Linked DNA regions of Pelodiscus sinensis. The protein of the gene in region 1 interacts with the protein of each later gene in a pairwise test. Links are inferred from orthologs where the notes say so. Each region holds a gene or a part of one and is shown on either strand. Other genes may lie near its edges.

Region 1 (7,554 bases):
AGTTACCTCTTCCACCTGTTATATCTGCCACCACTCCTTCCCATATCCACTGCAGGGATCCCTCTCTGGCTGTGTAAATACTATGGACATGGAGAAATGGGGATTGAGATGGCAAGAAGGATATAAAGACTGTCTTAATAAAAGCTTTATTTAAAAAAAAAAAAAGCAAATTGGCACTGATTATTGTAAAAATCTAAAATAATGCTCCCCAGTAAACTGAGCCAAAAACCGTTACTGGAGTTGATATACTTTTAGCTGGGCCTGTGCCTAGAAGAAGGTTATACCCACAAAAGCTCATGATTCCATATACATTTTTTGTTAGTCTCTAAGGTGCTGCTAGACTATTTGTTGTTTAAGTTTACCACCTAGTGGCCACATTTTGTTTTTAATAATAAGAGATCATAGATATTTCTTACAGGCCCAATCCACCGGACGACAGAGCCACAATCAGCCAAATGCAGCAAGGTATTTCAACTCATTTGCTAGCTTTAGAGCCAAATTCAACAATGACATAAACGGTGGTATAAATAGGTAGAAATATGGATAGTGGGGGAAAGTGCTGTAACTTGTATGGATTTGGGAGTCAGTGGCTGTGCAAAATGAGTGGAACCGATATGTCAAGGGAGGAGAAAAATAACTAAAAGGAATGAGACATCTAAGACATCTATTTCAGAATCTGGCTGTGAGCTTCAAGGCTCTTCTCATGCACCGCTGTTTTACATTAGGCATGTTTATGTGCTACACAGTTACTGGAGAAGAAGATGGTCTCTAAATGCAAAACATAGTCTCAGCCTTACACCCTGGTTCTAGGTCCTTCTCTTCAAGGCAGTGATCTTATCAATTCTTTACCTCAACTCACCACTAGACCTGTCACCTCAGGATCTGCTCCAATCACACTTTAGTAGTTGTGGTGCTGCTGCTTTTGGGGTAGTTAATGTTGCACGATGCCAGCGGCTGTCATCCCTGCTCATGGAAGCAGATCCGCTCAGATCCCCCTGTTTATTTGCTTCTTCTTTTCCCATGATTATGGTGCTCCATGATCCCCGCACTCCCCATGATACCTCCCACATAGACTGACCAGCTGCCCAATTTTTAAAGGGGCAGTCCCATATTTAAGCCTTCCTGCAGGTGTCCCCACTTTTTCTTAAAAATGAGCAAATTGTCCTATATTTTCTTTCTCTTCCTCCCATCAGTACCGGTGGGTCCTACTCAGTGTTTTCTCTAAGTTGTGAGGCTGTATCGCTTCACAGGTGATTAATCAGCCCTGCCGAATCAAAGGCTTAGGGCTCCATGCACAGAGCTGACTGACTGGGCGGGACTGATTAATCAGCTGTGAAGCTTAGAGGGCACAACTGGCTCTACTACTGGCCAGTATCCTTGCTCACTAGCCATCCAACCACCAGTGGTGAGTGAGGAGGCGAGGGGATGGGACGGGGTCCAGTGGCTGACGACGGAGTTGAGTGTGTGAGGCTCGTGGTCAGCTAAAGCTGCAGCATGTGTGGCTAGTTGTTCTTCCTACTTGTCCATCCATGGAGTCCCTTCTGCATGCCAACTCCTGGCCAGCAGGCTGCCCCGCCCTATTGCCAGCCAGCTCTGGCTGCTCGCTCCAGTGGCTGAGGAACATGGGCAGGTAGTGGCTAGTTACGTGCCACCTCTGCTGCCCACCCAATGGCCATTTACATGCTTCCCATCTCACTGTCCTCTCCCTGCTGTGCCTGTTCACTCCCCCCCCCCCCCCCGCCCGCATTGTTGTTGCTACATCTCCCTCCTGGTGAGGCACATCCCACTCCCGGCACTGTGCAGAAAACCAGCCACTGCCTGGTCAGATCATTCATCTTACCAATAGCCTGGCTTCCCTCACTGCCTCCGGCTGGTCTTGCACCCAGGGAAAGGTCAAGATCCTCTGGCCTAAGGCACTGCCCAGGAAGAGCCGAGACCTTCATGCGCCAAAGCCCTTCACACCGCCGGCATGAGGAAGCTTCTCTGCTCCCTGGATAAGCTCTGGAGTGGCAGGGAGGAAGCTGCTTCCAGCTTGTTTGTTCCTCATCCCTGCAGGTCCCCAAGCAGGGTGCTTAGCAGCCTCTTCACATGCCCTAAGTCCTGTCCCTAGGGAGTGCTGGGCTGCTTTGTCCCCTGGGCACTCTCCCCTGCTGAGCCCCCTCTCTGGCCAGGTTGGCTGATGCCCCTGCAGCCAGGTTTCCTGGATCCTGGTGCGCAAGGCATCCTTAAGGCTTAACCCCTTCCTGTCTGTGCTGTCACCAGGGACAGGAGGCAACTGGGGGCTGTGTCCGTGACCAGCAGCAGCTTGGAGGTGTCAGTTGCCTTTCTACATGGTGCTGGCAGGAAGGGACAAGCTGCTTCTAACCATAGGGGAGAGGGTGGGAGGGAAGAAATGACCACTGGAAAAACATGAGCCAGGGCATCCCCACTCTCTCTCCTCTTCAACTGGAAGCAGCTCCCCTCCCTTCCCTCCTGCACAGTGACGAAAGGCTGCTCTTTGCCATGTTCTGGTATGAACTCCAACAGAAATCTGGGGAGGGGACCTGTGACCCTGCATGCCTCCAAATGTTGTCCTGAGAAGGTGTACCAGGAGAGATGGATCTGTCCCAGGAGGCCTAGCCAGGCGTGAAGGGTAGAGAGCACTGGATAGGGAGGGTTGGGTCAGGTCTGTCAGTTACCCCCATCTCTGTGTGAGAGGAGTGTACAGGAATGTGTGCATGTCAACTTTCCTTGTGCAAACCCTGAAAATAAGAAAGTAAAAAGATTCTAGCTATGTGGTATTTCATTTTAACAGGGTCTCAGTCAACCTGAGGTTAATTTGAACATTTGTACTGCATGGTTCTGATTGATTGTCATTGAGCTCTCTTGAATATGAGTAATGTTACCAGGTGTTCCATACTCAGCTTAGGGAAATATGGTCACCCTACTCTGACAGCTATTCTTGCCTGTTGCTGTCTCTAATATGCAGAATCCATATGGATTGGGAGCAGGCCTGCTGAAGTGCTATACCCTTCTACCGGGCTACTGCTGCTCAGTGACTCCGGGATCCTCTTGTGGAAGCAGCATATTGTCCCAGTTTTCTATGTCACCATGGCATACTGAGTGCTGCTAACCCCAGATCTCTTATTACCATCTAACAACACTGAGACCACTTGCAGAAAGAATAACCAGTCTGCTCTACAGCCTTTGCTAAAAAGAAGCTAACTTTTAGCTCATGCAGTAGATGCACTGAGCTCCAGAGGTGTCAGGTTCAATTCCATCTGTAGACAAACGAGGTCTGTATGTGTCACAAAGACCGGGTTTTGCAAAACCCCATGGCTGTGTCTAGATTTTGCAGAAAAACTTGCCAGCTGTCTACACTGGCCGCTTGGATTTCTGGAAAAGCACTGTCGATCTCATATAAGATCGTCAGTGCTTTTCCGGAAATATTATGCTGCTCCTGTTTGGGCAAAAGTCTTTTTCCAAAAGACTTTTGCGCAAAAAGGCCAGTGTAAACAGCACAGTACTATTTTCCGCAAAAAAGCCCCGATTGTGAAAATGGCAATCAGGGCTTTTTTGTGGAAAACCGCGTCTAGATTGGCCATGGACGCTTTTCTGCAAAAAGTGCTGTTGTGGAAAAGCATCCTGCCAATCTAGACGTGCTTTTCCAAAAATACTTTTAACGGAAAACTTTTCCGTTAAAAGCATTTCCGGGAAATCATGCCAGTGTAGACATAGCCCATGATACCAGATCCAAACCAGAAAAATGGGTATGGTCCGTTTCCAGCAACAGCCAGACACACAAGCCCGCCTGTGACTCAGTGTGGTGGTGAGAGGAGGGGGTGTAATTACCAAGGGTGACACCACACTGGCATAAAATGGGGCTAGAAAACGCAGGGCCTTTTTGGACTACAACTCCCAGCAGGCACGGGGGCACGCTACGGTACTACACATCCCAGCCTGCCTCTTGGGAGCACAGGCCTCGCGCACGGGCGTCTGGGAGTTGTAGTCAACATCGGCCTTGCGGCGGTTAAGGGCGGTTTGCGGGGAGGCTTCTCTAGGCGGCTGCGCGAGCCTCTCGAGGAGGGCGGTGGCGGGGCGCGAGGGAAGGAGCGGGAGCGGCGCGGCGGCGCAGCGCCTGCGCAGTGAGGACGCGGAGATCTCTCGCGAGGAAGGACGCCATTATCGCAGCCGCTCGACAAACACCACGAGAATTCGTCACCACACACGGTAACCGCGGCTCCCCGCGGCCGGCTGGCTGGGGCCGGCCTCTCTGGGGCCTGAGGGCCGGGGCGCGGCACGGCTGCCCCGCTCCTCACCGCCTTGGCCTAGCAACCGGGCCGCGAGCGAGAGGCGCAGGGAGGGGCCCAGCCGGGGGGGGCTCTCCCCCAGCTGGGGGCGCTCTCCCCCCGCCCCTCCTGCCTGTGGGCTCTGGTGACTCTCCACTCCCCCCCCCTCGCCCCGGCGGACAGGCCCCCGCCCCGTGGGGCTGCACTGTGGTGGGGTCTCTGCGGGGGGGGCTTCCCCCCCCCCGTGTGGGGCTCTGGCGGGGGGTGTCTCTGCGTTCCCCCCCCGCCGCACTGTGGGGGAGGGGCTGTTCGCTGCCCAACCCAGTGCTGTCCCACTATAGTCCTAGGAGGGGTGGGGCTCAGACCCCCCCCCCAGTGGTTGCAGGGCTAGCGTTAAGGGGAGATTGCGCTACTTTATTCCTTCCCCCACGGGTAGCACTACCCGCGGGGGGGGGGCTGCCCCACCATAGTCCTCAGTCCCACTATGTCCATGGCTGCAAGGCTAGCATGGGGGGCACCCTACATTTATTCTCCCATGGGTATCACAATCTTGAGGGAGCCGCTCTGTGGTTGCGATACTCTTATCAAAAGGGCTGGTGAGGCAGATGTAATTCCTTTCCCCTCCACCCCAGCATAGCACATACACTACATGGTGAGTTTTTTGGGAAGGGACACTTTTTTTTTCCTCCAGGGGCACCTTCTACGCTCAAAATGGATTGTAAATAAAAATTGAGAGGCTGTTCGCCCCCCTTTTCTTCGCCCCAAGTGTCACTTGTGTACTTTTGTAAATGGAAAGAGGTTGGGGCTTAGACGTACTGACAGCTGATTGCACAAATGATATAGTGGATCTTAGAGGGGGTAGCTGTATTAGTTTGTAACTTGAAAAGCAAGTTGTCCTGTGGTATGTTAGAGACTAACAAAACCATATAGGCTCATGAGCTCTTGTGGGAAAAGCGGCGAGGAGTCCTGTGGCACCTTATAGACTAACTGAAGTGTTGGAGCATAAGCTTTGTGGGCAAAGACCCACTTCGTCAGATGCATGTCTTGTGGGAAAGGCTCACTTCATCAGATGAGTTGGAGTGGAAATAACAGAAACAGATACATAACGAAGTACATGCCAATTTTTTTCATGCCATTATTTGCAAGTGCAATTCTTTTGAATTGATACTTTCTGAACCAGTGTGCACTTAGCCATCAGATGTTTTGTCCTCTTGTCTTTGGAATATTAACATGTTTTTAAAGATTTTTTTCCCTCCTTATATGGTGAACAGTACTAAACTTATAACCAAATTTTACTAGGGGGCTTTATAATTTATATAGTCATTTATTTTTAGTATTCCCAAGAGAAGAATTTTGTTCTTTTAAAAGAAGCACCTATTTAAATGGGCATTTGGAAACTGAAAAAAAAACAACCCTTCGTTTTCTGAAAAAGTTTTGCCTGCTATTTTTACTGATAATTCCTAGTAATACAAGGGAAAGCTTGAGCATTTTGTTTGCTACTTCTCCAGTTAACTTTGTTTAACCTTCCTTTCTGTATAGTTAGTTTCAGTTTAAATACAGTTTCTTTTTTGTAGTTTTTATAGAGAAACACTTTAAATGTGTCTGTAAAACCATCAAAATGTGCAGGGGAAGAATGGTACTTGAAACTATTTTTAAGTCTTGAACACTGCAACTTGAGTTTCCCTTTATTTTCTTTGAATAAAACATTAATTCATTTAAATAGATGTTAAATGAATGTTGTATAAAATCTATCAATAGTTCTAATTGATCATGAAACCCTGTAGTCAACTTCAGTAAGTACATCACTCTGTATTTTAACTTACTAATTCTATTTGCAATAATACATTCAATGATGTCAGATAGGAAAAACTCGATAAATTGTTAGAGCACTTAAAACATTGAATTTAGTTTTCATAGATGTAAACATCCTCTCTTTCAGAAAGTCTTTTGCACATTTTGTGTTTTGATTTGTCCCAAAATCTTATTTATGGTAACTTGTAGGTTAACATCTTTGAGATCCTGTCACATTTAATTCATCAAGTGGCACCAGCCAGGCCTAAAATTGTAAGGCTCTTGAAGAGATTAGTTATGTTAATGCCTAATAGTATCACGCTATTCCACTGGACATTCTGCTGTCTGATATTATATATGATTAGGATTCAACTAGTGTAATTTCTTCTAAACAATTTGTTTGAAATAGTCCAGTACTTAGGTTCCCTGGACAAAAATAAGACTTTTCTGTGGCACAAAAGATGTTTTTACTGATTTCCACTAATTAGCTAAGGAAAGATTAAATGTATAAGAAGAGTATTCAAGGTTGTCCTGATTAAGATCATGATTCTACAATGAGTGCTGTGTAGCTTCAGTCTACATTAACCAAATTGCAATGATTTACATAGGCAAGTTGTAGGTTTTTTCTACCCGTTTTATGGTCACATGAAAACAAATGAGATGAATTCACAGAACGAGTGTATTCTCATCTCTTTATTACAACTTCCAGACTCTAATATTTTTTACCGAGATATTGTTTAAGTTGGAATTTTGGTGGTTCACATAAGAAATGTATAGAAGGATACTTCCCAGATTAAAGACAACCATTTGTTTTTAATATTGGGTGGAGATGGGAATTTGTCTGCACACACAGAAGCACACACAAAAGTAACACTACAAAAACATTCTGCAAGTTTTTGGAATATAGTGAATCTACCAGGCCAACCAATGCAGTATTGTCACAGGAATATATAGAAACCTACCAGCCAAATATTTTTTTGTTGTTTAAAGCAGTTACACTGTACATACTAAACTCACTTCTAATAAAATCTTTTTCTCATGGGTATAATTACTCTTGGCCTAATTCGAAATAGCTTATTTTGGCGTTGTTTACACCTCAGGAAGTCAGAGTTAGTTAAAGCACTCTTCCTCCGACTTCCCTCACTCCTTGTAAAATGAGGGTTACAGGAGCCATAGTAAGAAGTCCTCCAACTCACCATTATTTCAAAATAATGGCTTGTAGTGTAGATGTGCACTAACCTTACTCCGAGATAACGCTACTGTGTAGACATAGCTTCAGTGCCCTCTATCATTATAGATTGTTCTTCAGTTTAATTGTTGAATTATATATGTACTCAGCAAGAATTTGAACAATATTAGTATTCTCCCTCTGTCTTAAAGCTCAGTGTCATAGTTACCTCAGTTTTCTACAGTTGATGCCCAGATACACAATTAAACAACTTCCTTTTTACAGAAATCTATCATGTTAGTTTGCAGGAAGTAAATATCTTAAAAC
Region 2 (7,557 bases), on another chromosome or scaffold:
GACTAGAAATGTGTTTACTGCGAGCAAACAGCAGATTCAGGAAACTGAAAAATAATTATTAAAACCACAAGTCAGCTGGGGAGAAATTCATTTTATTTCTCAACCGGCATTCTGCACAACCGTTATTTATTATTTCTTTAGTGTCCACAAGATGCTTGGAGACTCTCACTCTTTACCAAGATGCACTTGGTAGCTGAGCAGAGCTCTGGTTCTATAGCGAAGAGGCACGCCAGGTAGACTGGGCCCAAAACGAAAGGCTAGCGGAGCACTTAGAACTGTGTGAAATGGTTAGCGAGCATTTACACTGAAGCACTTCCCTCGCAGCCCGGCAGTTGTGCTGCTGGAGCATTTTAAGTGTAGACACAGCCAAAAAGAAGTGACAGGAAAAGTATTTGTCCAGGGTATTTACTCTGTGGATTGACCAGCCCTTTGTGTTTAGATGGTTTCATCGTTACCCTGTAGAGCAATGGCTCTCAATCAGGGAAACATATTCCTGGGGGTACACCAACTCATCGAGCTATTTGCTTAGTTTTATAACAGGCTACATGAGAAGTTCTAGCGAAGCCATTACAATCTAACAGGTCTTACAATGAGTTGTTCAGACTGCTCTATATACGATACACTGCAATGTACAGACCACTATTTATTCAAATTGATTTTATAATTATTTGGCAAAAATGAGAACGCCATCAATTTTTCAGTACTAGTGAGCTGTGGCCCTTTTGTATTTTTATGTCAATCTGTAAACGAGCAGGTGTTTTTAAGCGAGGTGAAACCTGGCGTACTCAGACAAATCAGACTCTTGACAGGCGCACAGCTGTCTCAAAAAGTTGAGACTCACTAAGTACAAAGGAGAAACAAATGTTATGAATTTCAGGTCAAAGAGACCCATGCAATCATTTAGTCTGGCCCCCTGAACAACACAGGCCACAGAATTTCACCAAGCGGTTTCTGCATCAAACCACAACTTCTGGTTGAGCTAGACTGGCGCATACACTTGAGAAAGAAAATCCAATCCTGGTTTATTAGAAATCTGAAGTGACAAAGACTCAAATGCAGCCTTAGATAGGGCCTTCCAGTGGTTAATTCCCCTTCCTGTAAAACATATGCCTAATAAGTTATACATGATAAGGCCCTTATAAATACCTACCAGGGAACTGAAAATGTATATATACATTTTCCCCCCAGGAATTCAAAGGGTGTTCTCTAGCAAAAATGATTTTTTAAAATGTGTTTATTTCAACTAATCAGCACCCCCTTAAATACTCTTAAGTGCTTATCAGCGAGGCAAATTGTTTAAGATACAATGTTTAACCTGAGTGATTCCTCTAGCACCAAAACTTCAATGTGGTAGTTTGGAGTTTCTTTATCAAGTCTGATTTTTTTAACACCTTGCTTTTTCCCCCTCAAAGAAAGTTTTCACTATCATCAAACGTGCAACCGGCAGGCACATCAGGCTGCACTGAGACGACACAAGCCTTTTACTTTGCTATACATAAGTCTGCTCTACGGCTTTGTGCTCAATAGACTTTTTTACAGAAATCCCCCATCATAGTACTGTAACAGTGGGCGTACATGTGGCTACTGGTGTTTTTACAATATAGATGCCATGTTCTATAGGTGAATAGCTTCCAGACAGCGAGCACACATGCGCACACACACACCCCTCTCTCCATACGCAGACTTAACACAGACCCAACACAAAGATACTGTCTTGAGCTACTTGGTCCCACACTCTGGTCTCTAACTCTGTACTTCTCAGACTCCCTATCAAGACAGGAGGAGATATATGGAGGGTGCAGGAATTTTAACTGCTTGACGGTAAAAATGTGTTCGATGGAGCCCTTGGGACTCCAGCGGTATCAAGGAATGACACAGGGATCAGGCCCAACAAAGACTTCCATCAGCATCAGTCCTGCTGCACCCTGTGGCTCCCAAAGCAGGGGAGATGCTCCAGCACTATGCACCCAGGCACCAAGGATCCCTGAGGCCCCATGCACCCCTGCTGACTCCGCCAGTGTCATCCCATCCTACCCCATGTACAGCAGGGAAACACATTCCAGATCAATCCCCTCGGGCACCCTGCTTATCTCCTTCCCTGAGGTGCCTCACCATGCCCGTAGGTGCCATGAGCCCCGACACCCACCTCAGTGCACTTTGGACCATACAAACCCTGACCCCACTGTTCCTCTCCCTAGGAAAATGCAGTGAGGACAAAGCAAACCGCCGCACCCCCGGCCAATCCCAATGCCCCCAGTGCACGAGGGGCCACGCAAATCTCCCTAATCCCTGCCGATCACTAGTGCCTCCCAATGCCCAGCCCAATGCACCAAGGGGGGAGGGCATGCAAACCTCCCTGCCCCCCTAGTGCCTGGTGCCCCCATGCCCGGCTCAATGCATGGGGGGGGCATGCAAACCTCCCTGCCCCCGTGCCTGGTGCCCCCATGCACAGAGGGGGGGGGCTATGCAAATCTCCCTGCCCCCCCGTGCCTGGTGCCCCCATGCACAGAGGGGGGGGGGCTATGCAAATCTCCCTGCCCCCCCGTGCCTGGTGCCCCCATGCACAGAGGGGGGGGGCTATGCAAATCTCCCTGCCCCCCCCCGTGCCTGGTGCCCCCATGCACAGAGGGGGGGGCTATGCAAATCTCCCTGCCCCCCCGTGCCTGGTGCCCCCATGCACCGAGGGGGGGGGCTATGCAAATCTCCCTGCCCCCCCCGTGCCTGGTGCCCCCATGCACAGAGGGGGGGGCTATGCAAATCTCCCTGCCCCCCCGTGCCTGGTGCCCCCATGCACAGAGGGGGGGCTATGCAAATCTCCCTGCCCCCCCGTGCCTGGTGCCCCCATGCACAGAGGGGGGGGCTATGCAAATCTCCCTGCCCCCCCGTGCCTGGTGCCCCCATGCCCGGCTCAATGCATGGGGGGGGCATGCAAACCTCCCTGCCCCCGTGCCTGGTGCCCCCATGCACAGGGGGGGGCTATGCAAATTTCCCTGCCCCCCCCCCCGTGCCCGGCCCAATGCACGTGGGGGGGGCGGGTTGCAAGCTCCCCCCTCCCGCAGGCTGCGGGTCCCCGGGGAGGCGGGCCAACGCCGCCCGTCCCGCCCCCTCCCGGGCCCCGGAAGCGCCGCCCGCCCGAGCCGCCCGCCCCCTTCCGGCTCCCCGTTGCAGCAGGGTCGGGGCCCCTCCCCCCCCGGCTCCGGGGCCCCGGGCCCGGCCCCTCCCCCGCGCCCCGCCCCCCCGTCCGCGGGCCTCGGGGCGGGGCTCCCGCGACCTGCCCGCCCCGCCCCCCGCCCGGGGCAGCGGCGCGCGCGGCCTGCACAGACCCGGCTGGAGCGGAGGCGGCGGCGGCTCCGACCCCCTCACGGCGCCATCTTCCTCCTCCTCGGCCGCCCGGGCACCGCCCTGAGCGGCCCGCCCCCTCAGCGCCCGCACGGCCAATCCCCGCCCGACCCGCGCGCCTCCCAGCCAATGGCAGCGCAGGCCGCCTCGGGCGGGCCAATCGGGCTCCGCTATCGCCTGACTGACGTCCGCCGCGGTCAATCGGCCCCAGTGATGGAACGCCAGCCGCACCAATGAAGGGCTGATTTGAGAATGACGGACGGCCGCGGAGAACCAATAAGAGGGCCGATGTCTGATTGACGGCGCTGCTTACCAGTAGACGGGAGACCAGACTTTCGCCCACTAGTAATTGATTGACAGCTGTGGGGGGGGGGGAGAAGTGGACTTAAAGTAGGCGGGATTTTTTTCAGTAGTGTTCCACGATTGGACACTGAAGAACAAGATTGATAGGTTCCTTAACCAATCAAAGAACGACGCTATCCAGTGCCTCCTCCTATTGGCTCCTCGCAATCAGCTGGGCCTTGAATTCTGGAAGGTTAATAGCAGCGACAGCTGTTCCGCCTCAGAGGTGGTTGCATTTCCCTGGCTGTTCCCCTCCCCCTCTTCCAATGGCCAGCACTTGTTCCAGATTGGCTGCAGATGGTGGGCAGCCAGCTGGGGCTGAGCCCCCCCCCATGCTCCCAGTGACTAACCCAATGGGTTTGTGGCTGCCGAGCCCCCCTGCAACATCTCACCCACCCGCCTCACCAGCCACTTTTGCAGCCAGTAGCCCCACTGCACCCTAGAGGTGGCTGCATTTCCGTACAGCCCGGCCCTCCTGGTACAAAAAGTGCTCTGGGATCCCGTGCGATGAAGGAAGTTACTTATTAATATGTAATCAAGGGGGTGCTATTCGTAACATTAAACACATAAGAAAGCAGCAAATAGACTGATAGCACGGTAAAGACTAACGAAACGTGTAGATTGTTAGTCTTTAAAGTGCTACCAGACTATATCTTGGTTTTTAAGTTTTTCCTGTTACAGACTTAATTCGGCTACCCCTCTGAAGCTATCGAACACCTAGGACAGTATTATGAACTGTGCTGCCCACTGAGGCACTGGTGCTATCCAGATACTCAAGAACTGTCCTCGCTGCCAGGCGCCCACAATCTAAGAGCAAGGAAAAGGAAGTTAAGGGAAAGGTGGAACTTTGCTTTTTAAAATCCATTGTCCTGTTCCTGGCTCTATTCCTGAGGCCTACTACTCAACAGAGCTAAGGGCAAGATTGTCCAATATTCAGCACACAAAACTGGAAACAGATTTTTCAAAAGATTTCAACTCCTGTTGCGGCATCTAAACAAGGAGCAGATTTTTACAAATGTTCCGAATCTAGCAGCTCCCAGTGTGACGTGACCAGAGTATGGACAGAGGCTCATGTTTACGTGCAACAGCTAGACCTGACTTACCATCATCCCTTGTATGGAATGGAGCAGGACTGGGGTGGAGGCTCTTGAAAACTAGTCAGTTGAAACTGGCTGAAGAGGTCATTCGGAAACTCCAGAGGGAGTCAAATACTTGAGAATTTGCAAATCGGTTCTCAGGATTCTTGCAGTACTCGTTCTATCCTATGTGACACTGTGATTGCCAACCATGCGGTCTGCCCAGAGTCTGGAAACACAGGGAAAACATATTCTATGCGTTTGTTCTTCCTTCCTTTCTCTTTATAATAGTAAGGGCCCATCTGATTGCTCTGGGCATTCTCACAACAATTTAAAGAGAACACAGGGCCTTTTTTCTCAACCTTTTTTTATAAAGTACCCTCTTTTAAAAAAAAAGTAAGTACCCCTTTAAAAAAATTATAAGTACCCCCCTCCCCATACCTACAGTTTTCAGACACACACATTTTTTTTTCTACCATTGCAACCCATCTGTTTAAACAACTTAATCGTAGGCAGGCAGGCGATGACATTTTTGGGTGTAAAAAAGTACAAACGCTGTAAAAAGTAAAACAAAAATTCAGTTTTCTTCAAATTTCAGTTGTGGTGACGTATCCCCCAGACTTCTGTTGAGTACCCCTAAGGGTCCTTGTACCACTGGTGGGGAAACACTGCCCTAGCACATGTTTGGGTACCACACGAATCCAATATTAATGGGTATGGATTAATCATACATGTTCTTGCCCACCAATAAAAATCATAAACTCAATCCCTGGTGATATTTATGATTATATTAGCTATACTGCAGTAACTTACTAGCCTCTGGCCTGACCCAGGACACCACTGCGCTAGGCATTAGACAACACAGAACAAAAAGATGACCCCTTCCTTGAAGAGCTTAAACCTAAGGGCCTGATCCTGCTCCCATTAGATGGGGACTAATTTAGCTACAACTGCTCAAGAGAGATCTTGGAGTCATTGTGGAGCGTTCTCTGAAAACATCCACTCAGTGTGCAGCAGCCGTCACAAAAGCAAACAGAATGTTAGGAGTCATTAAGAAAGGGATAGAGAATAAGTCAGAGAATATCTTATTGCCTCTGTATAAAACCATGGGACACCCACATCTGGAATACTGCGCACAGATGTGGTCGCCTCATCTCAAAAAGATCTACTGGCATTGGGAAAGGTTCAGGAAAGGGCAACAAAAATGCTGAGGGGTTTGGAGCGGGTCCCATAAGAAGAGAGATTTAAAAGACTGGGACTTTTCAGCTTAGAAAACAGGAGACTAAGGGGGGATAGGATAGAGGTCTATACAATCATGACTGGTGTGGAAAAAGTGAATAAGGAAAAGTTATTTTCTTATTGCCACAGTATAAGAACTAGGGGTCACCAAATGAAATTAACAGGCAGCAGGTTTAAAATGAACCAAAGGAAGTTTTTCTTCACGCAGTGCACTGTCAACCTGTGGAACTCCTCGCCAGAGGATGTGGTGAAGACTAGGACTTTAACAGGGTTCAAAAAAGAACTAGATACATTCACGGAGGTTAGGACCATCAACGGCTATTAGCCAGGAGGGGTAGGAACAGTGTCCGTAACCGCTGTTTGTCTGGAAATGGATCACAGGGGAGGGATCCCGTGAGGATTCCCTGTTCTGTTCCCTCCCTCTGGGGCACTGGCAGTGGCCACTGTGGGCCGACAGGACACTGGGCTGGATGGGCCTTTGCTCTGACCCGGTCAGGCCGCTCTTAGGTTCTTGTGTTCAACAGAACTCGCTGGGGCCGTCTGTCCCAGAGCCTGGCTCCTCCCTCAATGGGCCGACCCAGCTCCCAGGACACCAAGAGAAAGAGCAAGGTGGGAGCTGCCAACGGGCCAGACGCAAAGGTGCATGTGGGCTCCTGTAGGGCAGGATCATGGGGGCGGAGGAGCAGAAGCGGGTTCCAGGCTGGACTGTCATTGACAGCCGCTGTGCTGTGCCCCCGGCCTCCTGGGGGAAGAGCCATCAGATCCCCAGCAGCAGGACTTTATTCTTGTGCGTGTCTCACCCGCAGGCCCCTGCGTCCGGACAGCCGCCTGCTTGCCACACACGAGGGTTCGGTTCTGCAGCGGACCGAGCACGCCGCCCCATGGCCTGCCGCCTAGCCTGGGCCTTCCTTGTGACTTCTGGTGCCCTACGCAGCCCGAGCACCGAGTGGGCAGCGGCTCTGCAGGGGGAGGGGCTGTGGGGGCAGGAAGGCTGGCGGGGGGTCGGCAGAAGGGGCTGTTCGCCACCCTGCCCCCGATGCTTGTAGCCGGCAGGGGCAGGCGGGGTTGCAGGCTCCTCCACGGAGCAGCCCAGCAGTGGCCCGCCGGGTTTGGCAGGGCTGAGATGGGACGCCGGGGTCCTGCAAAGTGAGCCAGCTCTTCCTGGAGTTTGGGGGGGGGTGCAACCAAGCCCCTCCCCCCCAACCCAGAGAGAGGGGGCATTTGGGCACAGCGCTCGCTCCCAGCTGCACACCCCCCCCCCACCCCGTTCCTGGAACTGGCTTCCCCACGGCAGAGTTTTGCTCGGATTCCGGCGGGCGCCCGGGCTTTGATCTCGACCTGCTGGCTGCGGTGGGGAAGGCGGGTCCCGACCTGCCCCACACGGGACCACGGCCTAACGGGCTGAACACAGGAGCTTCCTCCCACACACTGCTGGCTCCCTGAGCCCTTAAAGCCTCAGGGCGAGGTGGGGGGCAGGAGAATTGGAGGGGCCCAGGGCCCGAGTGACGGAGAGACTCAGGGGAGGCCCTGGCTGGCCTAGACCTCGGGGCACGAATCTCCC

The links.
Region 2: the proteins of BANP (region 1) and SP2 interact in binary tests that used the Homo sapiens proteins (3 or more experiments, as listed by UniProt). The two-hybrid records come from large-scale screens. The link is inferred for Pelodiscus sinensis from reciprocal best matches to the Homo sapiens genes BANP and SP2.

Annotation. Positions count from the first base shown.
Region 1 is NC_134722.1:5,025,277-5,032,830, reverse strand, and holds the start of BANP (protein BANP), read left to right. Parts: upstream 1-4,048; 5' UTR 4,049-4,209; intron 4,210-7,554. UniProt on the Homo sapiens protein: Controls V(D)J recombination during T-cell development by repressing T-cell receptor (TCR) beta enhancer function. Binds to scaffold/matrix attachment region beta (S/MARbeta), an ATC-rich DNA sequence located upstream of the TCR beta enhancer.
Region 2 is NC_134739.1:13,603,017-13,610,573, reverse strand, and holds the start of SP2 (transcription factor Sp2), read right to left. Parts: upstream 3,471-7,557; 5' UTR 3,324-3,470; intron 45-3,323; exon of another isoform or gene 1-44. UniProt on the Homo sapiens protein: Binds to GC box promoters elements and selectively activates mRNA synthesis from genes that contain functional recognition sites.